Linked DNA regions of Tamandua tetradactyla. The protein of the gene in region 1 binds, or shares a complex with, the protein of each later gene. Links are inferred from orthologs where the notes say so. Each region holds a gene or a part of one and is shown in the gene's direction. Other genes may lie near its edges. The genes, in order: EIF3J, EIF3D, EIF3L and EIF3B.

Region 1 (8,001 bases):
ATTCAACAGAACCCGGAACAGAATGGAGAGGCCTCCATGTGTACTCCCATCTGACAGAGGAGCCAAGGACCCAGGATCCTGGAGTCAGTCCCAGAACACCAGTCTTCAGGAAGAAAGCATGGCCTTGAGGACGCCATGATTTGGATTTTCTCTTAGCCTCAAACTGTGAGCTAGTAAGTTCCCACTGTTTAAGCTGACCCACTGCACGGTATTTGCTTGAACTGAAACAGGGCCCATGTGACGAGGAGCCCTGAAACTAAAGCTTCATTAAAGTTTCACAGTTAATATACTTCTGATTCCCTCTCTAAAATCAGCTATGATATGGGAGCAGACATGGTTTGGTGGGCCCATCTACCCTTGTGTGCTGTGGCAGTTTCTAGGAAAGAAGAAATCACTGTGAGCTCCCATTACCCCAGAAGTGTCATGTTCAGTTTAAAATAATCTGATCATTTAACTAACAAGAACCCAGCTTTCCTGATCACCAAATAAGAATTTTCCAATATACCACCTTCCACAGTATTTCACTTTTTTACCAAAAACATGGTGGAACTGGAAGGATACAAAAGAAGATGTATCCTCTCACTTTTTTCCTCTGGTTGCTGCTTAAATGTTGATATTCTTCCAGGTTTATTTTTATTTTTTCTCCCCACATGACCTCTACTTTCACATGATTTCATCTACCACCACAAGCAGATGAGTCCTAATTCTATACCTGTAACCCAGACCATCTACCTCCAAGGTAAATGTCAAAAATAGACCTTTCCATTTAGATATCTCCCAAGAATGTCAAGATCTGGGTGGTCAAAACTTAATTCATTCCTGAATTCCTGATTTATGATTAGAGACACTTATAAAACATTGAGCGTTTATTATATCCCAGGCTCTTATTATGTCCCAGGAATATAGTATTAAAGAACACAGACAGGATCCTTGTGCTCCAAACAGACATCAAATAAATAAGACCATTATAAATTGTGATAGGTGCTATGACAAAAATAAACAGAGCAATGAGATATAATAACTGGGTAAAGTCCCCTTGCAAAGAAGAGCAGGGAAAATGGTTTTCCGCAAAGGAAACATTTAGGCTTTGACTTGAAGGAGAAGGAGAAGCCAACCATGCAAAGAAATGGGGAAGAGCACTGCAGACAGAAAGAACAGCAAGTACAAAGCCTCCAAATAGGAAAAGACTTAGTGTGTCCAAGTAGCAGCAAAAAGAGCCAGCGGCAATTAAGTTAATGAGAGGAAGAATACCTGAGAGCGGTTGACAGGAGGCATAGGGGTCAGACTTTGCGATGCCTATAGGCCATGGTAGGAGTTGGATTTATTCTAAAAGCAATGAGAAGCCACTAAAGGATTTCACTTGGAGGTGGGGATGGGAAAGGGCTTATCACAATCTGATTTACAGTCTATAAGTAAACTGACTAGTGGGTAGCAAATGAATTATGGAGAGGGATGAGTGGAAGAAGGAAGACCAAGTGGGCAGTTATTGTAGAACAATACAGAGATAGCTTGGATTAGGGTGGTGGCAAGAGATGGAAGGAAACAAATGAATTAAACATTAATATTGGCACAGAGTTCAGTGATGGACTGGATTTATGGGGTGAGAGAGAGAGGGAAAGAAATCAAGGATAGGTCCTAAGTTTTTCTTTGTGGTTTGTGTGTGTGTGTGTTTATTGTTATTATAATTTTTTTAATTAGAGAAGTTGTGAGTTACAAAGCAATCATGCATGGTCTTGGGCTTTTGACTTGAGTAACCAGATGGGTGTCACTACCACTCCGTTAATCTCCAAAGACACTGCTGTTTTGAAAGGATGTATGCCTTAGAAAAGCCATGTTTTAATTAAAATTCCATTTCATAAAGGTAGAATAATCCCTATTCAACACCGCATGTTTGAAACTGTAATCAGATCATCTCCCTGGAGATGTGATTTAACCAAGGGTGGTTGTTAAACTGGATTAGGTGACGACATGTCTCCACCCATTTGGGTGGGTCTTGATAAGTTTCTGGAGTCCTATAAAAGAGGAAACATTTTGGAGAATGAAAAAGATTCAGAGAGCAGTGCAGAATGACATAGCCACGAGAAGTAGTAGTCCACCAGCCAGCGACCTTTGGAGATGAAGGAAAATGTCTCCCGGGGAGCTTCGTGAAACAGGAAGCCAGGAGAAGAAGCTAGCAGATGATGCCGTGTTCACCATGTGCCCTTCCAGATGAGAGACGAACCCTGACCGTGTTCACCATGTGCCTTTCCAGATGAGAGAGAAACCCTGAACTTCACTGGCCTTCTTGAACCAAGGTATCTTTCCCTGGATGCCTTAAATTGGACATTTCTATAGACTTGTTTTAATTGGGACATTTTCTCGGCCTTGGAACTGTAAACTAGCATCTGATTGAATTCCCCTTTTTAAAAGCCAATCTGTTTCTGGTATATTGCATTCCGGAAGCTAGCAAACTAGAACAGACACCATCATCTATTTCTCCCTTCCCCTCCTTCTCCATAAATCCTGTTGATTCTAACCCCTAAATTTTTCTCAGATCAGTTCCTCCCCCTCCATCATCATTCAGGCTTACGTGCTCCTTTAATTACATTCTTAAAATATTTACTATGTATTAGGCACTGTGCCAAATGTTGGAGATAACTGTAAACTATTAATAGAGTGTGCCCTCAGGGAGCATACAGTTCAGAGTTTCCCTGCCTTCTGTATTCTCTCCTTCGTAAGTGGTTGCCTGTAAATCACTGCCTTTCACACTTTAATGTGCAGACAAATGATCTGGGTATCTTAATAAAAAGGCAGATTCTGATTCAATAGGTCTGGGGTGGGTCCCGAGTCTGCATTTCTAACAAACTCTGCAGGTACTGCCCTAATGCTGATTAGACCACACACTTTGAGTAACAGGGCTACCACACACTTTGAGTAACAGGGCTGCAGACTGTCTCTTGAAAGAGCATCTTTGTAAAGTTTATAGACTCTCTCTGAAAGGGTACACGAGAGATGAGAAATAATGGTTGCCAGTGGGATGAAGAGAATAGCTGTTCAATGTGTATCCTTTCATACTTGGATACTTTATCAAGTATGTGTATTACATATTTAACAAAACAAAACAAAAGTATCTGAAACGGCTCGCCTCTTAAAATTCTGCAGTGGAGCTCCGTGGCCTAAAAAGCAGAGTGCAGTTGCTTAGTCCACCTTAAGTCCATTATGACTGGTTCACCTGGTCAGCCTTATCACCAACTGTGCCACTAAGCCACACTCAAATGCACACTCAAATGTGATCTTGGACCACACGCCCGGTTCTTTCTACCGGAAATACACCTGAGCACATTCCACTTGGTTTTTCAAACTCCAGCTTCTGCGGCGCCTATCTCGGAAAGACTTTCCTGCACCCTCCAGCCCCCCGCTGCCTTTAATGTTACTTTTTTACATTTAACCTCACAATGCTTCTTTTTATTGCAGTAATCCCAGTGTCAAAATCTGTTCACATGTCTACCTTTGCTACTTGACTGTGCCCTCCTTGGGGACAAGGCTAGAGTTTATGCCTAGCACAGAACGAGGAGCTCCGAAAATGTTCTGAGAAAAGAACGAACGAATCAATGTATTGGCCTCACAGAGCTCACAGGAAGGGAAAATCCTCGTAGATGGGGGCTCTCTTCGATCCCTTCATGACTAACACGAGGCAAGCGAGTCACAGGCTGGCTCCAAACACCCTGGCTAGGAGGCAAGAGGCTATCCCCTCCACTCGTTCTTTTCCCCAGGAATGCCGGCTTCCAGCCGAGTCCCCTCCGGCACGGGACGGCACCCTCTGGAGTCGAGAGGCCGGTCCGCCGCCCCCATTGGCTGGCCCTCTTCTGAGCGCGGCGTGAAGAGGCTGGGGGCCACGGGATCAAAGGGAAGGCGCGCCAGCAGAACGCCCGTGAGCGGGGCGGGGCTGGGGACGTAAGGGGAGGGCGGCGAGGACCTGCGAGAACCAAGTTCCAGGCAAGGGGCCGCCCTACGAACTTCGCCGCACTTACGTTTCCTCCCTCGGGGTCGGGCTGGACTGGCGCTCTCCTGACTGCTTCCTCTCTTCGGTCCCACCAGCCTCCAGGACCGTCCTGAGCTGGGAAAAAAGGCCCGCTTGACCCCGCCCCCGCCACTCCCAGTTCCGCCCCGCCCGCCGCGTTCCACGCCCCTTCCCAGCCCGCGCGCGAGTAGCCGGCGCCAGGAGAGGCGGGGCTTCGGTTCCGGCGCACAGTCAGCCACGGTCCCAGCCTGCCCCGCGTCCGCCAACGAGAGCAAATCCAGTGACTCACCTCCGCCCCGCTAACTCCGCGATCGCTCTTCCCATCACACACGCTCACACCCTGCTTGAGATGGCGGCAGCTGCGGCGGCGGCGGGAGACTCCGATTCCTGGGGTAAGGAGAAGTTCCGGGGGCTGGGCCCGGGTCTGCGCTGGCCCCACGCCGAGGCAGGCACTAACGCGGCTCGCTCTCTTCCGTAGACGCGGACACGTTCTCGGTGGAAGACCCGGTGCGGAAGGTGGGGGGCGGCGGCGGCACCGCCGGCGGGGACCGCTGGGAAGGCGAGGACGAAGACGAGGACGTCAAGGTGGGTGCGGACCCGGGAGCCGGGTAGCGCCGAAGCGGGCTGGCGCTCGCGTTGTCGCGGGCGGGATGCTCGCTGACAGAGGGGTAGGCGGACTCCGGGCCCGGGATCGATGCCCAGGCCTGCGGGGCCGTGGATCCAAGCAGAGCGTAGGGCTCTGTGATGTCCTTTCCCTCTCCGTTGACCGGTCAAATGGATCAGTGGCCGGCGTCATGGCCTTCCGGACTCCCTAACCGAGGGCGGCAGCGGCTCCAGCTCCAGCCCTTCTTTGAGGGTCCGCTCTCGGGCCTGGATCCCACCCACCGACTGGCGACGGGAGGTGACAGCAGCGCCCGGCCGGCCTGGCCCACGTGCAAGGTTCGCAGTCCGCTGCCACTAGGGGATGACGCTCGGAAGTTGGGAATTGAGCCCCATGGTTTATCCCATATGGAAAGTCTTCGACTCTCCTTCTTTTTCGAGGTTAAGTCTCTAGGGCCAGTTACTGATTAATGTTCTGGAAGTCCCATTAATGGTAGCGTGTGTTCTAGTTGTTAGATGAAATATTGTCGTTTAGTTTCAATCTTTTTGTCACGAGACAAATATAAGGCGAAATAAGTTTTAGCTTTCCCTTCCCCTGCATTGTGGTGAAAAGGATGAACTGAGCCTGAAACAGGTCGTAGCCTAGTGGTCAGACACCTAAAGTCCACCCAACTAACCCGAATAAAGGAGAATTGACATACTGAGTTATTCCTCTAGACATAGGTGACCCTAGGATGAAATAGTGAAGGTTTGGTGATTAGAGTAGATGAGAGTCCAATGTTTATTTAATAGCTACAAAAGTCTCATGTCCAGAATATTAGGACTCTCAAGCCATTATTAATTGATTTTAATAGTTTTAATTTAGAGAATGTTACTCTCCTAACTTCCTTCTTAGCACATAATGAGAACAGTACGATTCTTGTGCTTGGATTGAAAATTTTAAACCAGATAATCATTATGAATTTAATAGCACTGTTTGGATTTTCCCTTTTCTCCTGAGTCTGATGTGGTGGATGGCCAATTTCTTAACCTAAGGTTCAGCGATAGATGAACTTTGTAAGTATTGGAGTTAATAATTGAGTATTACTGTTATTGACTGAAGAAGTTTAGATGGTTCATTTACATGTTATATAGACATGGAGATGGAGTGTGTTACCAGACTCGTTACAAGATATTAGTTACCTCCCTGCAGCAGATCTTCAGTTTTGAGACTTTAAGTTCAAAATTTGTGCTTTCACTTTTTCTGTGCATACTCAGTGTGGCAGTTAAGATACCTATTATGAAAACTGGGGATGTTAGCAAATGAGAAGAAAATATTAGAGAGATGAAAAGTCACAGAAAATGAAGTTTGGATAAAGCAGTCTGGACTGATAAAATGAAGAAACCTGCCTTGGATTATGGGAGCTAAGTGGTGTGGATCTTGATAAATATAATTCTAATTACTTGGAACTAATTTTTGAGATTCACAAGTGGTTAGAGACCATAAAGGTTATCTTGTGCAGTCACTCCTTCAGTGCAGAACTTTTCTTTATATACAAATAATTTCTTTTCCCAAACTTTGAAGTCGATCTTGGAGAAGAAAGCTGAACTTGTCCATTATATTCCCATGTTGAAATGTTGATTTCTTTCTTTTGAGCTGCTCCAAGATTCTCAAGATTTGATTTCCATGGAGTAGTTTGATTCCTGGGCTTTGGAACCAGACAGATCTGGGTTTATATTTATATTATTGTTTTGACATTTTTTAGATTTGGGATCATAAGCATGTTTTTTAAACATTCTTTTTTAGTTTTCCAGTCAGTGAATTTCCCAAGTATAAATGGCCATTATAGGAACTACCTCATAGAGTAATTCTGCAGATCAAATGAGGTAATATGTTAAGAATTAAGCAGAATAAATATTCTCACTTCATAGGAGTTTTCATTTTTCAGGCTAACGGAAAATATGGCTAGGCTCTTGAGATCTAGTGTCTGTGCTTATTTTTTGCCACATTGCTTATGATTTCCTAAACTGAGAAATAGTGTTTTCCGCAGTGCCTATTTACTATGACTTTTGTGTTTTGAATGAAATGACCATAATTAGCAAGCAACTTTTTGCTTGCTCAGAGTTTGCCAGTCTAGAATGTTGTCATGTTTGGTGGTGATGAGTAACACCAGATTTCTGAATTCTAATGTTTTAAGGTATACTCTTTTTGTAAGGAGGCACAAACAGGGCTTAGTTTCCTTGAGACTAATACATAAATTAAAAAAAATTCAATACCAAGACATTATTATAAGTTCTTCAGTTTATGTCAGCATTTAATGCTTAATCTTTAAGAATATAGGCTTAAAACAAATTTTAAAAAGTAGGAGAACTGAGATGTTAAGGTAATTTACGTTGCTTACTATTTTCAGTAGACATTACAGCATTTTGCTGCCTTTGACTATCCGAGAGCTGTCTGGCAGTGGCAGAAGTAGATTTAGATGAAACTATAGAACTGTTTATATTCATGGAGGAAGAGGTTATGATTCTCCCCAGTTAGAAAGGTAAGAACTAGGGAGCATAGCTTCCTGTCTTACTGTCTTTATTCTGCTTTTCTTACTATCCTAGTATGTGGAGTCAGTGGGAAGAATTGTCTGCTTGGCATATGTTACTGGGCTCCTTCCCCAGTACTAGAATGTGATGTATACGCAGCACTGACTGAGACAGCAGTGAGCACTTACCCACAGAAGCAGGGACAACACAGCTTATACTCCTCTTTACTATCTTCCAGCATTTCAGTAGAACAGGTTAAAAGATAGACTTACTCAGAGGAAACTTCTGACTGTGTCCGTCCATCTTAGGTATTTGTTTCTATAACCTTATAATAAAATTTCTTAAAAAGAAATCCTAGAGAATTGACTTAGTAGAAAACGGCCTATCTTCATTCTACTCTTTCACTGTTTTGTTACGATCCTATCCCAGTTAATACTTTAAATCTACCAGAGTAAGGGCATTTTTCAGGCATTGAAAACAGCACTTCTGAAGAAAGGGACTATATTTTGGAGAAATGTGAGTTTCTTGGGAAATACTCAGGATGTGGGCATTTTACCAGGAAATGGGCATCTTGAAGTATGCTGTGCATGTGGAACTTACTAGGGAAAATTTCACACATAGAAGTAGTGAGAGAAGTTTAATAAACCCATTGGCAGTCTTATTTCTTCTATATCCCCACTGAGTCCTCCCTGACCAGATTATTTTGAAGAAAATCCCAGTCTCATCATTCTAGTACCCTGACAGTTTTTATGAACTAGCAAGTTTTGAAGTAGAAAGCATGTCTGTTATTGAAAAATATTTATCATATTTGTTATACAGGATCATTGAAAATAAATAAGCTACTTGTTTAGTGTTCTGCATCTTGATCTTGATTTTGCTCAGCTAGGACT
Region 2 (7,938 bases), on another chromosome or scaffold:
AAGTGAAATCCCAGCTCCACCTCTCACTAGCTGTGTGACCTTGGTTAGTGACCTTGCTTCTGAGTCTCATTTTACCATCCGCAAAATTAATATTAAAATATTGTCACCATGAGGCAGAAATGACGTAGTTGCTTATAAACCGCTGTGCTAAGATTAGCTGTTATTAGCAATAATGAAAAATTAGTTATTAAATTCCCTGGAAAAAGATGGTGGGGTAACTTTTCAAACCAGAAAGACTAAATGAGAGTTCCTTTTGAGAATAGGGCACTTGCCCCCAAATCTACACTTCTCTGGCAAGAACGCTGAGGTTTTTTTGTTTGTTTTTTCAGTCTCTAGCAACAGTATCTAAAGGCCTCATCTCTGGGCACATACTCTGGGTGCCAGGTGGAGTGCTGAGCCCTGACAGTTCAACCCCAAATAATGCAGCCCCACACTGGAGGAGTCCAGAGACTGGGGGTGGGGGTGAGATCTAGGTGGCCCCTAAGTAATAAAACAAGGCATATGACAAGAGCAGCAGTGGAAGGATCTGCCATGGATGCACGGGAGTTCATTCATGCATCCAACAAACATTTCCCAAGAACCTACCAGTGCTAAGCATGATTCCAGGTGCTGGGGATACCACCACACAAAAGACATGGAAAACCTCTGCTCTCAGGAGTCTAACTTTCTAACGAGACAATAAATAATTAAGCAAATAAATGTACGGTAACTTCTGATCGACATAAATGCTAGGATCCCAACAAAGCAGTAATGGGATATGGGAAGATGCTGGAGGCAGGCTGTCTTCTGAGTTTGAGCCCCACCTTTGCCATGTATTCTGTTTGACCTAGAGCATGTAGTGTGATCTTACTGTACCCCCACCTTCCTTATCTGTAAAATGAGGAGAATAATAGTCCTTATCTCACAGAGTTGCGATGAGGATTAAATAAGTTAACGCAAGTCTTGGTACAAGTACCAGGTAAGCGACAAGCTCAATGTAACAATATAAAAAAAAGTTAATGAGGCAGAGTGAAGCAGCTCAGAAGGGTGGTCAAGAAAAGCCTGTTTAGGGACAACCAAATCAATAGGTCAAACCCTCAATCTTGGGGTTTGTTCATATGAAACTTATCCCCACAAAGGACAGGCTAAGACTACTTAAAATTAGGCCTTAAAAGCCACCCCCAGAGAACCTCTTTTGTTGCTCAGATGTGGCCTCTCTCTCAGCCAACACGGCAAGCAAACTCACTGCCCTCCCCCTCTCCTCATGGGACATGACTCCCAGGAGTGTAAACGTCCCTGGTAACATGGGACAAAAACCCTAGAATGAGCTGGGACTCAGCATGAAGGGGTTGAGAAAACCCTCTCAACCAAAAGAGGGAAAAGAGAAATGAGACAAAATAAAGTGTCAGTGGCTGAGAGATTTCAAAGAGTCAAGAGGTTATCCTGGAGATTATTATTATGCATTATATAGATATCCCCTTTTTAGTTTAAGGTGTGTTAGAGTGGCTAGAGGGAAGTGCCTGAAACTGTAGAGCTGTGTCCAGTAGCCATGTTTCTTGAAGATGATTGTGTAATGATATAGCTTTTGCAATGTGACTGTGTGATTGTGAAAAACTTGTATCTGATACTCCTTTTACCTACAGTATGGGCAGATGAGTAAAAGATATGGACAAATAATGGGGGGAACAAGTGTTAAATTGAGTAGGCTGAAATACTAGTGATCAATGAGAGTGGTAAGGGGTATAGGAAAAAAATAGGGGGAACAAAGGTTAAAATATATTGGGTAGATGGAAATACTAGTGGTCAATGAGAAGGAGGGGTAAGGAGTGTAGTATGTATGAGTTTTTTCTTTTTATTTCTTTTTCTGGAGTGATACAAATGTTCTGAGAAATGATCACGGTGATGAATATACAATTATGTGATGATATTATGAGGCATTGATTGTACATCAAGTATGGAATATTCATATGTTAAGACTGCTTGTGTTTGTATGTTGTTTTGTCAATAAAAATATTAAATACACACACACACACACATACACAAAGCCTGTTCGATAAGAACACAGGCCTACATGAATCTAGGAGAAATCCATTCCAGGCCCTAGAGAACAGCAGGTTAAAAGGTAGGAACTGGCTTGGATGTGTTCCAGAAAGAGGAAGCTGCTAGTAAGGGAAAGGGGAGACAGTAGGGTTGAGTTGGGAGAGGGAAGAAGGATCATTTAGGGCCTTGTAGGTCATGGAATGGTGTTTATGACTTTACCCTCAGAGTAATGGTAGGCCACCGAAGGGTTTTAAGGGCAGGGAAGTTGGGGAAGATGAGGCATGCTCTGATTTAGTATAAAGGAGGGTCATTCTCCTGCCATCTAGAGATTGGGCACCAGGAGAGGCAGAAATAGTGGCAGCAGGAGTCTCAGCTGGGAGGAGGAACAGGGGCAAGATCTCTCACCCAAATCCAGGGACCCACTACAAAGAACGAGATGGGACACTCCATGCACTCCTCCCTCTGGTGTGGGCAGGGACATCTGAACCAAAACATGGGGAAAATTATTAAACACTGGGCAAGTCATGGAAGGAAGCTGCAGCAGATGGCCCAGAGGCCCACAGCAAAAAAAGAAAAGACACGATCCAAGCGAATCAATAAAAATACATTTGCCCTTATATTTCAGAACACACTCAATTTACTATTGATATTAATTTTATATCAGCATTTATTGATTGCTTAGTTATGTGCCCAGGGTAATGTGCTACATGCATTTTCTCATTTAATTGTCCAAAACCCCAATCCATTCAACAATCAATTCAACAAATACTACTACCAGACACTCCTCTAGGGAAGACAGACAAAGCCCACACTTTCACGTAGCTTAAACTCTAGAGGGGAGACAGACCCTAAACAAAGAAACAAATATTTCACATGGTGATGAGAACTATGAAGAAAACAAAGCAGAGAAGGAGGAGGGATGAAGGGGAAAGTAGCTATTTTAGAAAGGATGGTATGAAAAGACTTCTCTGAGGAGGCAACTCTGGAGTAGCGACATAGATGGAGGGACCAAGCCAACCATGAGCTGATTTGTGGAAGAGTGTGCCATGTAGAAGGAACGCAAGTGCAGAGGCCCTGCCTGATGGGTTCAGGGTTCAAAAAAGCCATGGCAGCTGGAGCAGTGAGTGGAGAACAGCAGCATATGAAGTGGAAAGGGAACCAAGTACCAGGCAGGCCATGGGAAGACATTCTTATTTCATTCTAAGCACACAATGGGAAGTCACTAGAAGGTTGTGAACGATGCTTTAGCCACCATGTGGAGAATGGGCCGTAGGGAAGCAAGAGTGGGAGTCCAAGTTTGCAGGCTAGAGATGGTAGTTTAAGATATATTTTGGAAGCTGAATAATGAGTATTTAATGAACGTAATGCAAAGGGAAAAGGAGCTACCAATTATGACTACAAGTTTTGCCCTAAACACCACTCACTGGCTGTCACAAACAAAAATCAGAAAAACTAGAACAAGGGCAACTGGGAGAGAACTTATGGAGATAGGCGCTGCTATCACATTCTCATTTTCCAGATGAGTAAGATTTAAAGAGGTTAAATAAGTTGTCCAAGTTCCCCAACAGGTTAGAGGAATTACTAAGTACTTTGACATGCATTCTCTATTTTTACCCCCACAGTATCCCCTTATTATCAGCCCCTTCTTACTTATAAGAAAACTGAGGCTCAGAGAGATGAAGGTCTGATATGTCTTTCAATGAAGGACAGTCTTCCAAACTGTATGATCAGGAAACCAAGGAGGCAAGGCACAAAAGGATCTGGGATTTTAATAAAGTCACACCCAGCTTCTTTCTGAAGAATGTTTTGAAACCGCTCAAGACTCCTGGACAAAATCTATTGGCTGGGAGCTGCAGAAGGGACAACACTTGCCTAATGTAAAGTGTTTCTGAGTCCCCCACTTCAGACTCACAGTTGCTAATTAAATTGCAGATTCCTGGGTTCCTGCTTAGATTACTTGAATAACAATCTACGAAAGTGAGATCCGTAGCCTGCATTTATTAAAACTAGCGCTCCAGAAACCTCTGACGAGCAATAAAGTTTAAAACTGTGTAAGTAGCGTTTGAACCATGAACCTGGCGGCCTCAGCGTCCGCAACTGTAAAAGGGGAGGTTAATAATAATAAATTAATAAACTCGCTCCTCCCGCTTGCTGTGAGAATCAAACGAGACGATTAACTAGAGCAAGCGGAGGAGCCGCGGATCACTGCGTACCGAAGAGGACGGTTGAAGCACTGTGGGATACAGCGCGTCTGTCAGCCTCTCGCAGCCACTATCTTCCATTGCACGGCTGCCACGTCGCAATGCTGAGCGTCACCGGACGCCGTCTGATCGTAACTGTAACCACCCTCTTGCGTCTAGGCGCCTCGGAGAATAACGCCGACACCTCATAAAGAGCAGTGACGAACTTCCGGGACTGCCTTAGCTTTACGGCTCATGCATTCTTCTGCCGAATCCGGAGGAAGATGGCGCACAGTTTACGACAGCGCCGGTTTTGTTTACGGCGCCGGCTATTGCGCGCGCATCTTTCCTCCTTTCCCGGTTCCTGGGAGAGCTGTCGGTGGCACGATCTCTGACCCAGGCCATCTATCGCAATCTGGGCCGGCCGAGGCCGTTGCAGGTGAGCGGGGTCTTCCGTGGGACCCTGCGGGCCCCCGGAAGCGGCCCGGGCTGGGTTCGGCGTTCCAGGGCCTCCCGGAAGAGACCTCTTTTACGTCGGCTCCTGCCGCCGCGTCTTCAGCAGCCCCCAGTGAGGGTTGAGGGGACCCAGCCCTGTGTGTGAGGTCCCTGGCTCTAGGCTCCGCTTAGCTGCCTTAGGCTAGGCAAATTTGGTTGTTGCCCAAACCTGCTGGATCTCAGGGTCTCCCTTCAAAAGTGATCTGAGTTCCTATGAGTTTAATACTGGAGGTGCCATCCTGAGCGGTGTTCGGCCCCTGCCTTGAGGATCTCACAGTTCATTGGTTTCCTTGTGAAATGGGAGGGTAGAATGCAGTTGTCCTCGGGGATTGATGGCGTACGGTCTGTGGTGACCGTGGTAATCTACGCAACACTATGGCCTCCCAACCACCCTTCTGATTGCATTGTTGATGCCTCCCTATCCTGCTCCTGGGGCCAGTACAGCTGCCCTTATAGTTTTGCCTGAACGGCTCAGTTTTCCGTACTCATTCTATTCTCACTATTTTACACTGCCTGAAGCCCAGGTACTACTTCCCATCGCCTGGAGAAGTCTGGTCTGAAAGCCCCAGATATTTCCTGGCTGCTGTCCATCTATAATAGAATGGAAAGAATGCTGGACTTGCAGCAAACAGCCCCCGAAATCAAATTTATTTTGAAACCATGGACAGATCAGCTGCGTGGAATTTGGCTGAGCTTCTCGTTTTTTATTCTCTAAAATTGGGAGAGTGAGGATTACTGATGATAAAGTATCTAGTATCATTTCCTGGCATGTAATTAGGAGCTCAAGAAATACTTACTGGATGTGAATTGTTGCGATTGCCACCCCTTTCCTTCTGAACTCCTCTCCCTGTAATATAGCTTCAGTTCAGAGTTGGAAGATGATGCTCCCAGGTTCATTTCCTGTTGCTGTCACCCAGGAACCCTCAACCTCCCCGTCTTGGGGCCATGAGGACAGTTTGCCAATTTCAGTACAGCTGTGCTCTTTGATTGCTCTCCAGCTTCCAGGAGATATTTGTGTGATGAATTTTCCTCTGGGAAAATGCTTCCGAGTGTTGTCAGGGAGTTACAATGAATAAATGCATAGGCTTTTGATGAGAGCTATAAGGCAAGCATCTGCCGTAGAGTCCCTGGTGTTTGATCTCCTGAGGGGACCTATTGTGGCATTATGATGATGATGGCAGTGGTGGTACAGCAGCACAGTATGGACTCAAGCCAGATTGCCTGTGTTCAAATTCCTTATCAATATCAATATTGCGGCTTTAGCGTTGGTTTTCTTATCTAGAAAGTGGGGATAACACTGGCCCCAACTTCATAGGATTCCTTGGAGGATGTAGTGAATCAATGCATGTCAAGCACTAAGAACAAGGCTTAGTGCCCATAATATTTGTAAATAGTTTTTCATCCATACATAATTTATTTTTTTAATATTTTTATTGACAAAACAACATACAAACATGAACATTCTTAACATATGAACATTCCATACTTGGTGTACAATCAACCACTCACAGTTTCATCACATAGTTGTATATTCATCAGTACGATCATTTCTTAGAACACTTGCGTAACTCCAGAAAAAGAAATAAAAACGAAAGAATCATACATACCACACCCCTTACCCCGCCCTAAAGTTTTTGGTGACCTCACCTTTCTGGCAGCCCTTTTACCTCGCTCTGTTTCCACTTGCTCCATGTAGGATTTGCATCAATAATAGAAAACTAGACAACAGAAGAAAGTCAGATTTCAAGGTATACTGAAGGATTCTTTTTTTTTCTAAGTACTCTGTTCAGAAATATATTTTTGCAAGTCAAATAGTAATTGCAAGGCATTTTACAAAGACAGCATTTTCAAATGTGTTAATTAATATGACTTTCTCAGTGATCCAATGATACAGATAAAACAGATTCCATTTATTTTACAGATGCAGGGACTGAAGCTTAGGGAAGTGTTCTATGCCATGGTGAAGGAAGAACCAAATGTGGTTACCACACTTGAAAAAAATATTATCATATTTCATCAAATCTGAGACACCATTAATTTTAAAAAGTACCATTTTATGTAACATTAAGAAAGTTAAGCTATGACATACCATCAAATATAAGGTGCATCCTTAATTCAAAGATGTTAACTAGGCTAGTAGTCTTCTGAGTTTTAACTATTCAGAGTATTTATAAGAAAACACTGGTAAGAGTTTCACAGTTGAATATTCTGTATTGTGTGTTGCTTTTTGAATTGTATTTTGGGAACTTCCTTCATGTAGCAACTCACATTTTCTGTATTTTTTAGTTTTAGAACATGGCGAAGTTCATGACTCCTGTGATTCAGGACAACCCCTCAGGCTGGGGTCCCTGTGCAGTTCCTGAGCAGTTTCGGGATATGCCCTACCAGCCATTCAGCAAAGGAGATCGGCTAGGAAAGGTACTTGCCTGTCCATGGTCTCTGCATCTTTTAAACTGACGGTACTTCTCTCCAGGAGTTCCTATTTGAGTTTTATTCTCTCACAAGCCAAACTCCTGTGTTCCTTATAGTGATACCAGCTGAGAAAGATTATAACCTCTGTGAGTAATCATAGGAAAACTGGGTGCTTAAAAAGCCATTGTGAACCAGTTCTTCTGATACTCTATCACATTGTGTCCTTTCACTTCAGGGATTTCTGGATCACAAGAAACTTAACTGGTTGATCTATGTTTTCTCTGTCTTCCCTTATGGCTCTTAATAGGTTGCAGACTGGACAGGTGCCACATACCAGGATAAGAGGTATACAAGTAAGTATTCTTCAGCTGCCTGGATCAGGACCTTGTGACGATTTTCTTCCTAGTAATCTGCATCTGAAAGCTTTCTAGACACTTTTTAAAATGTGTTGAACATATTCCTATTTTGCATTCAATTGGCTGAGATTTACTGAACCTCTGAAGCCCAACAGTAGACCCCCAGTTTAAAACCCCTAGTTTTAAATTCCAAATCTGGTAAATAGGTTTTTGTCTCTGTTTGAGATGGTTGGAAGTAGCTTCCTAGAGCACTAAGTTAAGGTTATCTGAGGCTGAGATCAGCAAGGAGTTTTGTTGTGATCCGTGAAACATGTCACCTTGAGCACCGGGTGATAGAAATGGCAGCATATATGCCCTATGTTTGCCTCTCTTATAAGACTAAAGAATCAGATCTTTCCAGAATGAGGCAAAGAATGAAATGGGCTTAGCTTGAGTTTCTCAGACAGTGTCTTGGCTTAGAAAGCTCCTTAGACCAG
Region 3 (7,733 bases), on another chromosome or scaffold:
AAACAGGACAGTAAGTAAACTTCATATAAACCCCAGGATGCAGTGGGAAATGGGGCTTGAACTGAACACAGCTGAAAAATCCAGGCAGACTGTAAAATAGCACTAATGGCTTTTCCGATTCAGGGAATTTCCTGTCTCAAACCCCCAGGCAAAAGAAGATCAAGAGAAAACAGGGAAGCTTTACAGCTCCCAAATTCTATAGACAGCTCTCCTGGGTAAAATTATTCCAGGAGCTTTGGTCTGTTCAGTTTCCTTCCCTTTGAAGTGCTGCTTTTCCATTAACAAGCGAACATTGCAAAATCAAATACCCTGTGATGAGACATCTCAGAGTCTGTTTTAGGGCATCTAAACATCTGCTTTTAGGGCAAAGTTTCATTTCTAAGAAAATGTAACGCAATGGTGTAAGTTTCAGTTTTTTTTAATATCTCAATAAATTTATTTGAAAACATTGATAACATTTTATGCACAGGTTTCTTCTGGAATTTACAAATCCTGAATCAAATACACAGAAGATTCTATGTGTAAAATATAAAATGAAGGGATAAGGCATATTAAGACGGCTTTAGGCTGCAAGTAACAATGACTTAACTATAAGGACATTTAATCTAATACATTATTTTTAGATGAGTCTTATCTCATTGTTGAAGGCAATCTTCTCAGTTGATTGTAGAAGATGTAATCAACTTAACGATTATTTAAATCCATGAAATATCCTCAAAGTAACAATCAGGCCAGTGCTTGTTTGAGCAAACAACTGGACACCATAACCCGGCCAAGCTGACACATAAACTTAATCATCACAACCAGTATATAATAATATATTTTTTATTTAAAAAATATATAATAGATTTTTTGTGCATACTGACCATATTTCACATAACGTTGATAAATTTATTACAGTAACTTCTTTGTAGAGTCCTTAGGATTTTCTATATAGAGTATCATGCCATCTGTGAATAAAGACAGTTTTACTTTATTCTTTACAGCTTGTGGAGTAAGTTTCATTCTAAATGCAGTTCGACAGATATGGATTGAGAGTGGAAGCAGGAAGAGTGAGGAGGCTGTTACAATAATATAGGTGAGATGATGGTGGTTTGAACCAAGATAATAGAGACCAAGGTGGTAAGAACTGAGAATCTGAGAATATTTTTGAAGGTAGAGCCAACAAGAGTTGCAGATGGATTTGATGTGGGGTGTAAAAAGATAGAGGAGTAAAGGATGGCTCTGGAGGTTTAGGCCCGAGCAACTGAAAGAAATGTGTTGCCCTTCACTGAGATGGGGGAAACTGTGAGAGGAGCAGGGTTGAAGCAGAAGGTCAGGAGTTCAGTTTGGATATTAACTTTGAGGTGCTTATTAAATATTCAGGTTGTGATGGGAACAGGCAATGGGCCAGGGGCCCACGTCAGGGGTGGGGTCTGGAGAAGAGAGAGAAATCTGTGGAGTTAGTGGCATACGGATGATATCTAAGTATACTGGATTGGCTGAGACAGGGAGTGAGGTAGATAATGAAGAGACCCAAGGACCAACCGAGGAAGGATAGAGCAGTTCACTATTTAGTGATTGGAGAGATGATGAGGAACTAATAAAAATGGGAAAAAGAAGCCAGTGCAGAGGCTCCACTCAGAGCCTTTACCATTCTAACTTGCATCGTGATTCTCTAAACTAGAGTGTACAGGAGGGTAGAAAGTCTTAAAGAAAAAAACTAACAAATAAAATATATGCTATAGTATTATAAACAAGAGATCCAAGTTCAGTGGGGCCTGAATCTTATATGAAGAATGACGACTAGAAAATTACACAAAGCCAGGTGTGAAAGAGAGTATCAATTTAGAAGGAGAAATCACAGCACAACTTGAGAACTCAAACAATTATAATTTTTTAAAGGTGACAACTACCACAAACATCACAAATCCAGAGAAGTAACATATTTGTTAATGTTCTGAAACACTTCCATAATGTTTTCTCTTTTTTTTTGGCTGACAAATTACTCTTTAGTTGCCTCTTTTTTTTTTTTTAACATGGGCAGGCACTGGGAATTGAACCCAGGTCCTCTGGCGTGGTAGGCAAGCGTTCTTGCCTGCTGAGCCACCGTGGCCCGCCCTTTGGTTGCCTCTTTATATGACAATTTCATATTATCATTTTCCATAATTGATTGATGACACTCACTGACAACAGGGGATGGTAAGTGTCCTACCTAGGGAGACCTGCAATAAGTTAATTATGCACAGAAGGAGCAGTGTCACTTACATACATCTTATTAAACCCAAATGTTCCCAACTAGATTTCCTCTGCCAGATCCAAATGCCAACAGACATAGTGTGAATTGCAAAGAAGGGAATTAGAGTGGAGAGAGTGGTTGGAACCAATTGCAGTAACAATATTATATTGGCAAATTTTGACCATGTGAGTACATTGCTAGCTACTCTTCCTGAGTCATGGAAGAGACCTGGTGAATCAAAGAGACATGAAACTTAAGCTCCATTAGTTCCATGGTAAATTAATCACACCTTTGATGACACTGCAACTAAGGTACACAAAGCAAGAACAGGGCAAAGGGCACTGGAGCTGGGAGTTGTAATTCTAAAATAGGATGCTCTAAGTTGATGACAGTAAACACACCTGAAGGAGTGATGCAGCATGCCTTGTGGATGTCTGTAAGGACTGCATTCTAGAATTTAGATACAGGTAATTCTAAGCAGAAAAGCCCTGAAGCAGATGGGAAAAGCAAAGAGGGTAGTATAACTAGAAAATATGGAGGCTAGGGCCCAGAGAGGGTGAAACTTGCTTCTGGCCACACAGCAAATCAGAGGCATAGCAGGGACTGGAACCCAGATTTCCTGTCTTGGTATTGTAAACGGGCAGATGGCTAAACCAAGGCCCCCTCCCGGTTTCTGTTGGCTTGTCTTATAGCTTCCATCCCTAATTCCAGGGCTCCCGCAGAGCTAAGAGCACCTCTTACTACTCCGATCACAATGCACAGCCTGGGTGCTCAAGCGCTGACTCGATCTCAGGCTTCGCCCTAGGGCTTCACACCACAACACCACAGCTGGCTCTGGCATTTCTGTTTTTTTTTTTTTTTTTTTTTTAACATTTTTCTTGCAAAATATATATACAAAAAAAAAGCAATAAATTTCAACCTACATTGTAACAAGTAGTGATAGGACAAACTTCAGTGTTTGACATGGGTTACAGTTCCACAATTTCAGGTTTTTCTTTCTAGCTACTCCAAGACACAGGAGACTAAAAGAAATATCAATATAACGAGTTAGGTTGGTCATTCACCAAACCCTATCTTCTCTAATTCTCCCTCTCCCCCCACCCCCCTCCCAATCTTTAGAGTTATTTGCCCATTCTAACTTTTTCATGTTGGAAATGGGTGTCGATAATATGGGACGGGGGGATGGAACTAGTTGATGTTCTTGAAGAGGCTGGCTCCTCTGGATTTCAGGACTTACCTGGCTTAGGAAACCATCTGGAGGTTGTAGATTTCCAGAAAATAAACTTAGTACATGAAACTTATATACAATCTCAGACAGAGCCCTAGGTATTCCTCAGGGTTAACAGGAATGGTTTTGTTTGGGGTCTGGCAAACTGTGGAAATTAGCAATACCTAGCTAAAGCTTGTGTAAGAGTAGTCTCTAGAATAGCCCTTTGACTTCACTTTAACTCTCAGTCACTGATATCTCACTCTGTTAGGTTTCTCTTTCCCTTTTTGGTGAGGAAAGTGCAGGTGATCCCACAGCGCCAGGGCCAGGCTCATCCCCTGGAGTCATGTCCCACATTGCCAGGGAGACTTTCACCCCTGGATGTCATGTCTGTAGGGAGAGGGCAACTATCTTCCCTGCAGAGCTGAGCTCAGAGAAAGGCCACACCTGAGCAACAAAAGAGGTCCTCTGCTATAAACTCTTAGGCCAACTATAGATAGTTTAGCTTCTCTGCTACAGAAACAGCTGGCTTCGTTCTTGCCTGCTCCAATCATAATGTGCAAAGTTGGGAGCGCCTTTTCTCAATACCACCTCACTGAATGAAACCAAGACTCAACTGTAACACAGCAAATTTAGGGTCTTGAGGCCGGAAAGTTTGAAGACGTTATTTGCCTCAGGCAAGCCTCCCACACCTAAATCCGTAGTCAGGCCCCCTACGTCCGGATATCCTTTCACGCAAGAAGGCGGACCCAGGAAGCTGTCAGACATCTTTTGTGTGGCATTTCATAGGAGACTTAATTTGCCCGCCCTTTATGCCGAACTATTTCATGCCCTTAGTTCTGAATTTATGAAAGTCATATAACGTGACTTTCTTTCAAAGCCTCTCTTTGAAGAAAATAGAAAGAACTTAGGCCTTGTAGTTATTTTATTATTATTATTATTATTTTTTTTTTTAGCCCTTCCGAACATGGCTATCTGAGGTGGCCGCCGGCTATAGCAAGGCTTCCGGTTTCCCAGCAGGACCGAGAAGTGTCGGAAGTTCCGGTCTCACAGGGCAGGCGGTGGCATTTCTTTTTCTCTTTCGGCGGCGGTTTCGCGAGTTTTGCTGCTATGTCCTACCCCGCGGATGATTACGAGTCGGAGGTAGGATGCTTGTAAGCGCGTGGTCGGGTCCACGACCTGGGCAGGGGCTCTCTGGGTGCTGGGCCTCGGGGAGAGATGGTGTCTCGCTTTCGCCTTGCCTTCCCGCGTGGCCCTTATGCAGTAGCCACAGCTCCGGCTTCCTTTGCCACCGTCTCCCCGCCCGCTTCTCTTGCCTGGTCATCTTCGTCCTTCCCTTTTTCGGGACCGACTACAGAGGCTGTACCCTGCCCATGCCTGTATCCCTAGCTTCCTACTTGACGCAGGATGCCCGTGGGACGAAGGTTGTGGATTCACAAATTGTTGACTATGTGTGTCTGTCGTTCTAGGCTGCTTATGATCCATATGCTTACCCGGGTGACTATGATATGCATACAGGTAAGACCTGTATATACATACAGGTAAGAGTTTGTTTGACTATCTTAGGGATTGGCACCTTTTTGAATGGCTCAGAACAGCTCTGATGGGTATCTCTTAAAAACTGCTACTTGATGGTCCAGGCTTGGAGTCAGTTATTAACTCTCAGTGGGAGGGTTGGGTAGAATCTAATAAACTAACCTCCTACTCTCCCCCCCCCCCCCCTTTTTTGTGGTCAGTCTAAACAGTCTCAGAAGAGAAGGATTTTTGACTGGCCAGACTGTGGTCTCTTTGTTTTAACTTTTAGCCGAAAAAGAGAATTTTGACGTGAAAAGTTGAAATGATTCAAACCATACTCAAATGAAGTATTTGTGGGGTAGAGGAGCTTTGAGGTTTTGTACAATTTACAAAGACTGGGCTTGATTTAGTACTTAGAACTTTACTTTCTAGTAGAGAAAACAAATAATTGAGTAAATCGTTTTAGTAGTGATAAATGTCCTGAAGAAATAGGGTGATGGGATGGAGAACAACTTAGGGAAGGTTATATCTCTTTGAGTTGTTTAAAGGGGAGTTACACTGAATTTCATAGACTTGAATTTAGCTCATGGTTACTTGGGGATGGTCCTGCCTTTTTCATTACATCACATAATATGGGTCTGAGAGCACTTTGTAAAGTATTTATTTATTTATTATATCCAACCTGTAGGAGATCCAAAGCAGGACCTGGCTTATGAACGTCAGTATGAACAGCAGACATATCAGGTGATTCCTGAAGTGATAAAAAATTTTATCCAGTATTTCCACAAAACCGTCTCAGATTTGATTGATCAGAAAGTTTATGAGCTACAGGCCAGTCGAGTCTCCAGTGATGTCATTGACCAGAAGGTGTATGAGATCCAGGACATCTACGAGAACAGGTATGTGCTGCTGGCCAAAATAACCTCACTGTGTGGTACTAGCCTAGCTATTCAGGCCCTACAGAAGGGGTGCTGTTTAATCATTTTCTGTGAAGAAACTGCCCAGGAGTCTCAGTAGGAAAGGGGAAAGTTATTTTGTTGGACTATAGCTCCAGGAATTTGTATAAAGCCTTAAATAACTGTAGCTATGTTAATAATTATAATGGCAGTTAATATGTATTATCAGTATGGATCAGGCAGTACCCAGAGTACTTTTGGACTTATTTGTTACCCTCCTCAGTAACCCTATGAAGTAGGTCCTGTTGTTTTCCTGTTTTTATAGGTGAAGAAACAATACACAGGGGATAAGTGCATGAGTATAAGTATGTAGAAGCTAAGTGGATGAGCTAGATTTTGAAATTATACAGTCTGACACCAGAGCCTAATTCTGAACTTCTGTGCTTTACAACCTCTCGGTGTGTGCTGTGGTGTGCCAGGCTCCAGAGTGGTTGCTTCTGGTGTTTTGAGGATTGCCTTCGTGTACTGGGCATTAGAGCTGAGGTGGATCAGTCCAGGGTGGGATAGTAAAGAAAGTCTTCGCCAAGGTAATAGAATTTAAGCCAGTCTTGGAAGGGTGAATGGTGAAAGCAATATGGTTCGAGGCCTACTGAGTCAATGACTAGGAGCACCTTAATCCCTGATCTGTTTCCTTCATTCCTCAGGCCTTTCTGATGAGAAATATATAGGCCGCTGCTATTTAATAGAAACATGATACTAGCCACTAGTGTAATTTAAAAATGTTCAGCAGCTACATTAAAAATATTAAAAGAAACAGTTAAAATTCATTTTAATGTTATTTAATCCCATGTACCCAAAATATAATTTTGCAAATAATCAGTATAAAAAAAAAACCATTGCAAGCTTCAGTTAGACGTTGCTTCTTATCATAACTTGCCAAACCTCAACCAAAACCATTCCTGTCAAAACTAAAGACTACTTAGGGCATTATATAAGATTCTACAAAGATTCCATCTGCTAGATTAACTTTCCAGAAACCTACAACCTCCAGATGGGTCCCTGGACCAGATAAGTCCTGAAATGCAGAGGGGCCAGCCTCTCCAGAACATCAGCTAGTTCCATCCCCCTATCTCATATTATTGACAGCCCCTTCCAACATGAAAAAGCTAGAATGGCCATAGCCCAGATACTCCTAAAGAGTGGGAGAAAGATCAAAGGTAATTGAGGAATTGTACAGAAAAGGTAGGGTATAGCAAGTGATTATGAGTGCTGAATCATATTGACATTTCTTTTAGACTCCAGTACCTTAGAGCGGCTAGAAGTAAAAACCTAAAATTGTGGAATTGTAACCCATACCAACTTTAAAATCTGTTCAATAACAACAAAGACTGTTAATGAGATCTTTTATGTCTTCATACTAAGTCTTCTAAGTTTAATGTGTGTTTTACATTTATCGAATATCTCAGTTCACATACTACATTTTCATTGTAAATACTTGATCTGTAGGTATTTCTTAAAATTTACAGTTCTAAAGGTAGACTCACATACCCAAGTTATTCGCTTCCTCAGTCGTGCCAGCCACATGTGGTTGGTACCTACTGTAATGGATAGCACAGAGGGATATAGCTGGTAGCTGAAGGCAAACATAGGGTAGATCCTTCCTGAGGAGAATGCTAAGTGAAAAGACTGATTGGTGCCGTAAGAAATTTGTTTCTTTACAGATGGGCAGAGGAAAAGGAATCAGTAAATGAGACAGAACAGAAAAAACTTGCTAGTAAATCAGTGGAAGTGTCATAAGAACCAAGAGAGAAGAGACTTTGAAGGATAAGGGATTGATCAACAAATGTCCATATTCTCTAGCAGAATCAAGATGAAAAAGGAGCCAATTGAATTTGGC
Region 4 (7,774 bases), on another chromosome or scaffold:
GAACCTGGCAGAATTCCTGGAGGCAAAGCCTGTGAGCGCGTAGTGGCCCCTCCAAGATTGGCTCCCAGGAGCTTTTAATTCTCCAGGTGGTCCACAGTCAGCCTCCAACGATTTATAAAAGTTACCATCTAAATGTGCCAACCAGCTGCTGGTGATGGGTTAGATTATAAAGAGCCTACTGTGTGCTGTCTATAAAACCTATTTTAAATATCAAGATACTTATATGTTAAAAACAAAAGGATTAAAAGTGTTATCTTATACAAACGTTTAACAGGAAACTGGAGGGTACCTATATTAATAGCAGACAACATTGACTCCAGAACAGGGAATATTACCTAGGATAAAAAGGAACATTTTTAATAATAAAGGGGTTAATTCAGCAAAAAGACATGGCAATCCTAAATATATATGCACCTATTATACCTTCAAAGTAGATGAAAGAAGTGATAAAACTAAAAGGAGAAGTAGGTAAATATATAATCACAGTTGGAGAATTCAACATTTCTCTTTCAGCAATTAATAGAACAAGTGGACAGAAAGACAGAAAGGTTTCAGAAGATGTGAACAGTACTACTAACCATCTTGACCTGTCATTCTTTGAACATGCCACCCAATGACAGCAGTTGCTTTCCAAGTGTACAAGGAACATTCAAGTTAGACACATTCTAGGCCATGAAACACATCTCAATAAATCTAAATTTCTATGACTGCAATCACACAAAGTGTGTTATCTGTTGTGCTGGTTTGAAAGGATGTATGTCCCCTAGAAAAGCCATGTTTTAATCAAAATCCCATTTTCGTAAAGGCAAAATAATCCCTATTCAATACTGTATGGTTGAAACTGTGATCAGATCATTTCCCTGGATGATGTGATTTAGTCGAGTGGTTGTTGAACTGGATTAGGTGGAGGCGTGTCTCCACCCATGTGGGTGGGTCTTGATCAGTTTCTGGAGTTCTATAAAAAAGGAAACATTTTGGAGAATGAGAGTGATTCTGAGAGCAGAGCAGAAACACATAGCTATGAAAAGCAGAGTCCATCAGCCAGCAACCTATGGAGATGAAGAAGGAAAATGGCTCCTCAGAGCTTCATGAAACTGGAAGCCAGAAGAAGCTAGCAGATGACGTCATGTTTGCCACGTGCCCTTCCAGATGAGAGAGGAACCCTGACCATGTTCACCATGTGCCTTTCCAGATGAGAGAGAAACGCTGACTGTGTTTGCCATGTGCCTTCTCACTTGAGAGAGAAACCTTGAACTTCATCCGCCTTCTTGAACCAAGGTATCTTTCTCTGGATGCCTTTGATTGGACATTTCTATAGACTTGTCTTAACTGGGACATTTTCTCGGCCTTGGAACTATAAACCAGCATCTGATCAAATTCCCCTTTTTAAAAGCCATTCTGTTTCTGCTATGTTGCATTCCGGCAGCTAGCAAACTAGAACATCTGTCCTCAAGAAAATTAAATCCGAAACCAGTTACTGAAATGTATCTGGAATACCTCAAATATTTGGAAATTAAACAATACAATTTTAAGTAATCTGTGGGTCCCAGAAGAAATCATAATGAAAACTAGAAAATATTTTGACCTGAAAACATAACATATAATTGTGGGATGCAACTGAAGTAGTGGATAGAGGGGAATTTGTGGATATAAATTTAAGGCTTTAAATTCATGTGGTATCACCCTGTCCATTATAAAGTTACCTGTCAACTCTCATCAAATGGTTTCAGAAGTGTTGCAGGATTATTGCTTAGACTCATTATTTCTGAAGGACTGAAAAATGTTGTTTTCCTAATTTTATTGAACTTTCTGCATATAGTAGCTAGAATTCTTTTACAAAAAGAACTTTCTCTCACCAAATATTTGGCTATCTAAGGGTCAAAGAAGAAAAGCAAGATAAATTACTTTTTGCTTGAGTCTTTTATTTGCAGAATAACTGCCCAGCAATATTGAGCTGTGATTAACAAGGTTGTCTTTTTAAAAAATTTTTTATAACAATATGAACGTATAGATTTAAATATGCCATGTACATGAATCAAATGCAGTTTTTATTCTTTTTGAGGCTCAAACTGTCCTAGTGGAGGCCTTTGAAGATGGCCTGAGTCATTCTGCCCCCAAATTTTCAAATATACAGAAAAGTTAAAAGAAATTTTACAGTGAACACTCACAAACTCACCACCTAGATTTTATAACTAACATGTTTCTTGAACTCACATCATCAATCCCTTTCATTCTCATCAACCAGTTCTCAGTTTAGTGTGTACTCTTCCAGATCTTTTTGTACAGATTGTAAATACTGACCAAAATTATTCATAGAATATTTATAACATGATGCGTATTTTTTGTAATTGATATCATACTGTACATATCAATGTGCAATTAATAACCTTAACCCCATATGCATAAGTGCTAACCACGTTATCACATACAGATCTAGTGTGTCACTTACCTATTGTTAAATAACACATTACCCCTCAAATTGGGGGGTTGGGTTTAAAACAATAAACATTTATTATTTTGTGGCTCTTGTGCGTGAGAAATCCCGTAGCAGCTTGGGGGATGGCCCTGGCCCCCCGCTTCTCAGAGTTGCATCAAGATGTTGGCTGCAGGGCAGGTACCCGAAGCTGCTGGAGGCAGGAGGCCCTGCTCCCAAGGCGTTCAGATGTCCGAGACTTCACTTCCTCCACCTCTGCGGCGTCATCACCCTGATGACGAGCTTCTTTCAGAGCCGGAGATCCAAGAGAGGGAGGGCCAGGCGGACTTATCAGACTCTATGACGGAGACCTGGAAGTCACATAACCTCATCTCTGCTGTCTTCTGCTCACCAGGGGCGAGTGACAAGCCCACCCACATCAAGAGCATGATCCGGCGACACCTTCTGCAGGGAGGAGTGCCCCGTGACTGAAGAACCGACCACAGACGCACTGCCACACTCACTTCTGAGCTTCCACTGACGACGGTCGCCCCACGACTCGGCGATCCCTCCAGGGCGAGACCGCCGTAGCCGTCCCCACCGCGCGCGCCCTGCACGCCCGCTGCACACACGCGCTGACCGAGCCTGGGCATCGCGTGCAGTGCCTCTTACACGGCCGAGGGGCTTAGTGCTTTTTCTAGAAGCTAAGAGACAATGTTCCTATTCTCTCTGCAGAAAAGGCCATGCCAAGTCCGTTCAGTGCAAAATCCTAGGGAGCAGCTGCTCCGCGCAGGGCGAGCGACGCTGCAGAAGTCTCCCCCGCGTCCAGCTAAGGTCAGCCGTCTTCAAGCTTTTTGAAAAGCTTGGGTTCATATTTGCTTCTCATTCACTGACCTGTCCCCTTCCAGCACGTTCCATAAGAAGAGGGTTGGCAGAAGCCAACGATTTAAGAAAACGAGGTGAAACTAGAAATGGAGAGGATCCTTTGGTAATGAAGAGAACTAGCTCGCTGCCGGACCCTTCTGGGAGAAGGGCTCCCAAGATAGGTCCCACGTGCCGCGCACGTCAAATGTGCGTCTCACTGCGCAGATGGGGAAACTGAGGCAGCGGGGCTCGGGGACTTGCCCCGGGTTACACAGCTGACAGGATGGGGAGAATTCAAACACAGCAGACGCAGCCACAGAACCCTCGTTCTTCTTAGTATGATCGAAATATCGCACATTCAGCGGTTGCTGTGAAGCTTCGCAAGGAAAACCGAAATACAAACCCGGGCAAACCTCCCCTAAGCCGCCTCAGCTCACCCCTCCGACGCTCCCGTGTGGCTTCCGGCCCCGCCCCCCGAGGCCACGTGATCCGCCCGGTCTCGCGGCCGAGGGCGGAAGTCTCGGGAGTCCGAACCATCGTGAAGTGAGAATAGGGAGACGGCAGGAGTACAGCAAGCACTGTGCGATTGAGCGTACACGGTTAAACCACGTCTCATAAATTTTTGTTTTGGCCCAGGCAGCCATGTTTCCAGTACTGTTAGTGGCCTCTGCCTCTCCACAAATTCCTTTCCTGTTTTGGAATCGTCCGTTCTCTCGCTCTGTCAGTAGACAAGTCTAAGAGCCGAATGTAATGGGGGAATTTCGTAATGTTAGCGAAGTGATTTGTCTAGCTAAAAGCTATGGCATCAACCAAAGTCGCTTTTCGAACTTAGAGTTTTCCTAATATTAATATTTTATTTAAAGTTTAAATTTCATAGAAGTTCGTTTACAAAGATAATTTCTTAAGTCTCCCTTCGGCGTCACAAATAGTACAGTCCGCCGTAGCGCCCCATGGGAAAAGGAAGGGAGTGGTTGCCATGTTGGATTGAACCAACCCGCCGTCTCAAATGGGGTAGTTATGGTGCACGTTGAGTTTGCCGAGCGATGAAAACCTTGATGATTAGAATTGGCAACATAGTGGTCATACTGATATAGTTGTAAGGATTGGTATGCATGTCGTTTACACTCTAGGTTTTGTCAGTCGCTGTGGGAGGGGTGTGGGTGCCCCCCTCGGTCCTGGGCGCTTTGGTGCGGACTTCCCGGGGCGGACGCACATGGCTCGGGAGTAGGAGCCGGCGAGGCGCGCGGTGCGACCTGGGAGAATCGGAAGCGTGGCGGCGGCTGGGTCTGAGGAGAGGGAGGCCGCGCCCGGGCCCATGCAGCACGCGGAGAACGTGGCGGTGCCCGAGGCGGCCGAGGACGGGGCCGAGCCGGGGCAGCCGCAGCCCGCCGCCGAGCAGCCGCTGGAGGAGGAGCCGCCGCGGCCCGCCGGGCCCGCGACTCGGGAGGCGGCGGTGACCGAGGACAAGCCGGAGGCGGCGGCCGAGCCCCGGCCCGAGCTTGCTCTGAAGGCAGAACCGGAGGTCGAGGAGAAGGAGGCGGACGAGGCCGCCGCGGCCCTCGGCGCTTCCCCGGCTTCGTCTCAGCCGCCCTCGCCCGCGTCCGAGGAGGAGCCGCCCAGGTCGCCGCCCGGGTCCCCCGCCCCAGCGCAGGGGCAGGCGCGGGAGGAGGCCGGAGGCGAGGCCCCCGAGAGCCGGCCCCAGGCCCCGTCGCCGGAGGCGGGCGTGGACGCGGAGAAGGCGGAGGAGGCCGAGCCGCAGGCGGTGCAGAACGGCGACGCGGACGAGCCCTCGTTCAGCGACCCCGAGGACTTCGTGGACGACGTGGGCGAGGAAGGTGAGGCGGGCCCGCGGCCCTCTTCTCTGCCCTCTCGGTTTCCGAGATCTTAGTCGGGGTGTGAACGACGGCGTCCCCACGTCCCTCCTCCCGGGACAGCTCGAAGAGAAAGTTTTAGAGCCGTGCGGTGTTTGCGGAGAAGTCCCGGGTTCTGGAAACACGCCCAGGTGTCCTCTGACCGCGTTAGAAGCCGGCAAGGGAGGTGGGAGCGCCCTCCATCCTCCATCCCTCGTGGGGAGCCACTCTCGGCCCGGACAGCCTGCCCGCCTTCAGCTCTGTTCTGCCAGGACAGATTAGAAACGGCGTGGCGGGGGTCCCCTCGTCTGCGTCCCCGCCGCAGATCGGGGCGCGGGCTGGGGTTGGCTGCCTAGGCAGACCTCAGGGACGGACCCCGAGGCGGGGACCCGCAGAGGTGGAGCCACAGGGCCCTCTCTCCCAGGTGTGACAGCTTCCAGGTGTGCAGGCGTGAGTGCTCTCAGAGGTCGCCAGCCAGGCCCCCAAATGAGCTGCAGGAAAAGCGGGCTCTGACTGCTGAGTGTGGGCTGGTTCCTACCCCACAGTGCGGGCTCACCCCTACCCCACAGTGCGGGCTCACCCTACCCCACAGTGCGGGCTCACCCTACCCCACAGTGCGGGCTCACCCTACCCCACAGTGCGGGCTGGTTCCTACCCCACAGTGCGGGCTCGCCCTACCCCACAGTGCGGGCTCACCCCTATCCCACAGTGCGGGCTCACCCTACCCCACAGTGCGGGCTCACCCCTATCCCACAGTGCGGGCTCACCCCTATCCCACAGTGTGGGTTGGTTCCTACCCCACAGTGCGGGCTCGCCCTACCCCACAAGTGCGGGCTCACCCCTATCCCACAGTGCGGGCTCACCCTACCCCACAGTGCGGGCTCACCCTACCCCACAGTGCGGGCTCACCCTACCCCACAGTGCGGGCTCACCCTACCCCACAGTGCGGGCTGGTTCCTACCCCACAGTGCGGGCTGGTTCCTACCCCACAGTGCGGGCTCGCCCTACCCCACAGTGCGGGCTCACCCCTACCCCACAGTGCGGGCTCACCCCTACCCCATAGTGCGGGCTCACCCTACCCCACAGTGCGGGCTCACCCTACCCCACAGTGTGGGTTGGTTCCTACCCCACAGTGCGGGCTCACCCTACCCCACAGTGTGGGTTGGTTCCTACCCCACAGTGCGGGCTCACCCTACCCCACAGTGTGGGTTGGTTCCTACCCCACAGTGCGGGCTCACCCTACCCCACAGTGCGGGCTCACCCCTACCCCACAGTGCGGGCTCGCCCTATCCCACAGTGCGGACTCGCCCTACCCCACAGCGCGGACTCGCCCTACCCCACAGTGCGGGCTCGCCCTACCCCACAGTGCGGGCTCACCCTACCCCACAGTGCGGGCTCACCCTACCCCACAGTGCGGGCTCACCCTACCCCACAGTGGGGGCTCACCCTACCCCACAGTGCGGGCTCACCCTACCCCACAGTGCGGGCTCACCCTACCCCACAGTGTGGGTTGGTTCCTACCCCACAGTGCGGGCTCACCCTACCCCACAGTGCGGGCTCGCCCTACCCCACAGTGCGGGCTCGCCCTACCCCACAGTGCGGGCTCGCCGTACCCCACAGTGCGGGCTCGCCCTACCCCACAGTGCGGGCTCACCTTACCCCACAGTGCGGGCTCACCCTACCCCACAGTGCGGGCTCACCCTACCCCACAGTGCGGGCTCACCCTACCCCACAGGTGTCTGCCTCCAGAGGTGTCTGAGCAGGACGTGCTGGGCCGAGGCCCTGCAGAGTCCTGCTAAGCCTATAAAGCAGGCTGTCATCATTCTCTTGCAAATTATCTTTCCACATTTGCTTCAGTTCTACCTTGAATGACTTTCAGGCATTTCTGCTTCTGTCTGAGGTCCTGTTTCTTAAAGTGAGTTTTGTTGATGGCTGATCTCATTGTTTTTATTTCTTTTGTTTTGTTTTGTTTTTAGCTTTTATTTCAGCAAGCTGGAACCCCATCCATGGATTCATCTACCTATTGACTTTGTACTAAAGAGAAAAATGAAAACACTGTATTGAAGTAGACAGTGATAAACCAAGAAAATAATATCTTAACACGTGGTGGTCAGATGCAAAGTTTTTTGTGAGGTTGTGTCTTTTCATAGAGGTTCAGTCACAATCACACAATCTTTTAAAAAGTAGAATGAAAAATTCAGGGAACCCAGTATTTTTCAACTTTTTTGAGCAGATTTCTAAAGGGTTACCAGTTACTTTATTATTCTTTATTTCATAAGATTAAAAGACATTTTGGCGTTAAGAAAAACAACAACAGAAAAAAACAAACTAATGAAGACCTTGAGCAAGCTGACCTTTTCTAAGCCCCATATCCCCAAGATGTGTCTCAGAAGGTCGAATGGGCTGCTGTGACTCCCCCAGACTCATTTGCCCAGACCGCTATTTTTACCACACCAGTTTTTCTTAGGTTTAACATCTAAGGAGTGCCATTTTAAGATCTTGGATATTTCCTCTGCAATTGAAACTTTTTTAAAGCATTATTTGTGGCCAAATAATTCACAGATTTCTAATATAATAATTATTTTCAGACTTGGGATAAATGGGTTGGAGGATACGAACACAAGCAGAAGGCAGCCGTGACTAGGTG

The links.
Region 2: EIF3J (region 1) and EIF3D share a complex: the UniProt entries of both Homo sapiens proteins name them as parts of the eukaryotic translation initiation factor 3 (eIF-3) complex. The link is inferred for Tamandua tetradactyla from reciprocal best matches to the Homo sapiens genes EIF3J and EIF3D.
Region 3: EIF3J (region 1) and EIF3L share a complex: the UniProt entries of both Homo sapiens proteins name them as parts of the eukaryotic translation initiation factor 3 (eIF-3) complex. The link is inferred for Tamandua tetradactyla from reciprocal best matches to the Homo sapiens genes EIF3J and EIF3L.
Region 4: the proteins of EIF3J (region 1) and EIF3B are in contact, whole or in part, in an NMR structure (PDB 2KRB), measured with the Homo sapiens proteins. The link is inferred for Tamandua tetradactyla from reciprocal best matches to the Homo sapiens genes EIF3J and EIF3B. Residues at the interface, in NP_003749.2 of Homo sapiens: Asp45, Glu46, Asp50, Asn51, Trp52, Asp53, Asp54, Asp55; in NP_001032360.1 of Homo sapiens: Lys202, Asn205, Val206, Ile207, Lys209, Ile210, Lys213, Asn249, Ala250, Asp251, Gly252, Tyr253, Lys254, Leu255, Phe261.

What each region holds. Positions count from the first base shown.
Region 1 is NC_135340.1:58,895,234-58,903,234, forward strand, and holds the start of EIF3J (eukaryotic translation initiation factor 3 subunit J), read left to right. Parts: upstream 1-4,637; 5' UTR 4,638-4,744; coding exon 4,745-4,939; intron 4,940-8,001. UniProt on the Homo sapiens protein: Component of the eukaryotic translation initiation factor 3 (eIF-3) complex, which is required for several steps in the initiation of protein synthesis.
Region 2 is NC_135333.1:28,870,666-28,878,603, reverse strand, and holds the start of EIF3D (eukaryotic translation initiation factor 3 subunit D), read left to right. Parts: upstream 1-4,456; 5' UTR 4,457-4,638; intron 4,639-6,980; 5' UTR 6,981-6,989; coding exon 6,990-7,112; intron 7,113-7,413; coding exon 7,414-7,459; intron 7,460-7,938. UniProt on the Homo sapiens protein: mRNA cap-binding component of the eukaryotic translation initiation factor 3 (eIF-3) complex, a complex required for several steps in the initiation of protein synthesis of a specialized repertoire of mRNAs.
Region 3 is NC_135333.1:30,216,885-30,224,617, forward strand, and holds the start of EIF3L (eukaryotic translation initiation factor 3 subunit L), read left to right. Parts: upstream 1-4,435; 5' UTR 4,436-4,535; coding exon 4,536-4,568; intron 4,569-4,894; coding exon 4,895-4,943; intron 4,944-5,628; coding exon 5,629-5,839; intron 5,840-7,733. UniProt on the Homo sapiens protein: Component of the eukaryotic translation initiation factor 3 (eIF-3) complex, which is required for several steps in the initiation of protein synthesis.
Region 4 is NC_135349.1:1,763,521-1,771,294, forward strand, and holds the start of EIF3B (eukaryotic translation initiation factor 3 subunit B), read left to right. Parts: upstream 1-4,229; 5' UTR 4,230-4,592; coding exon 4,593-5,112; intron 5,113-7,774.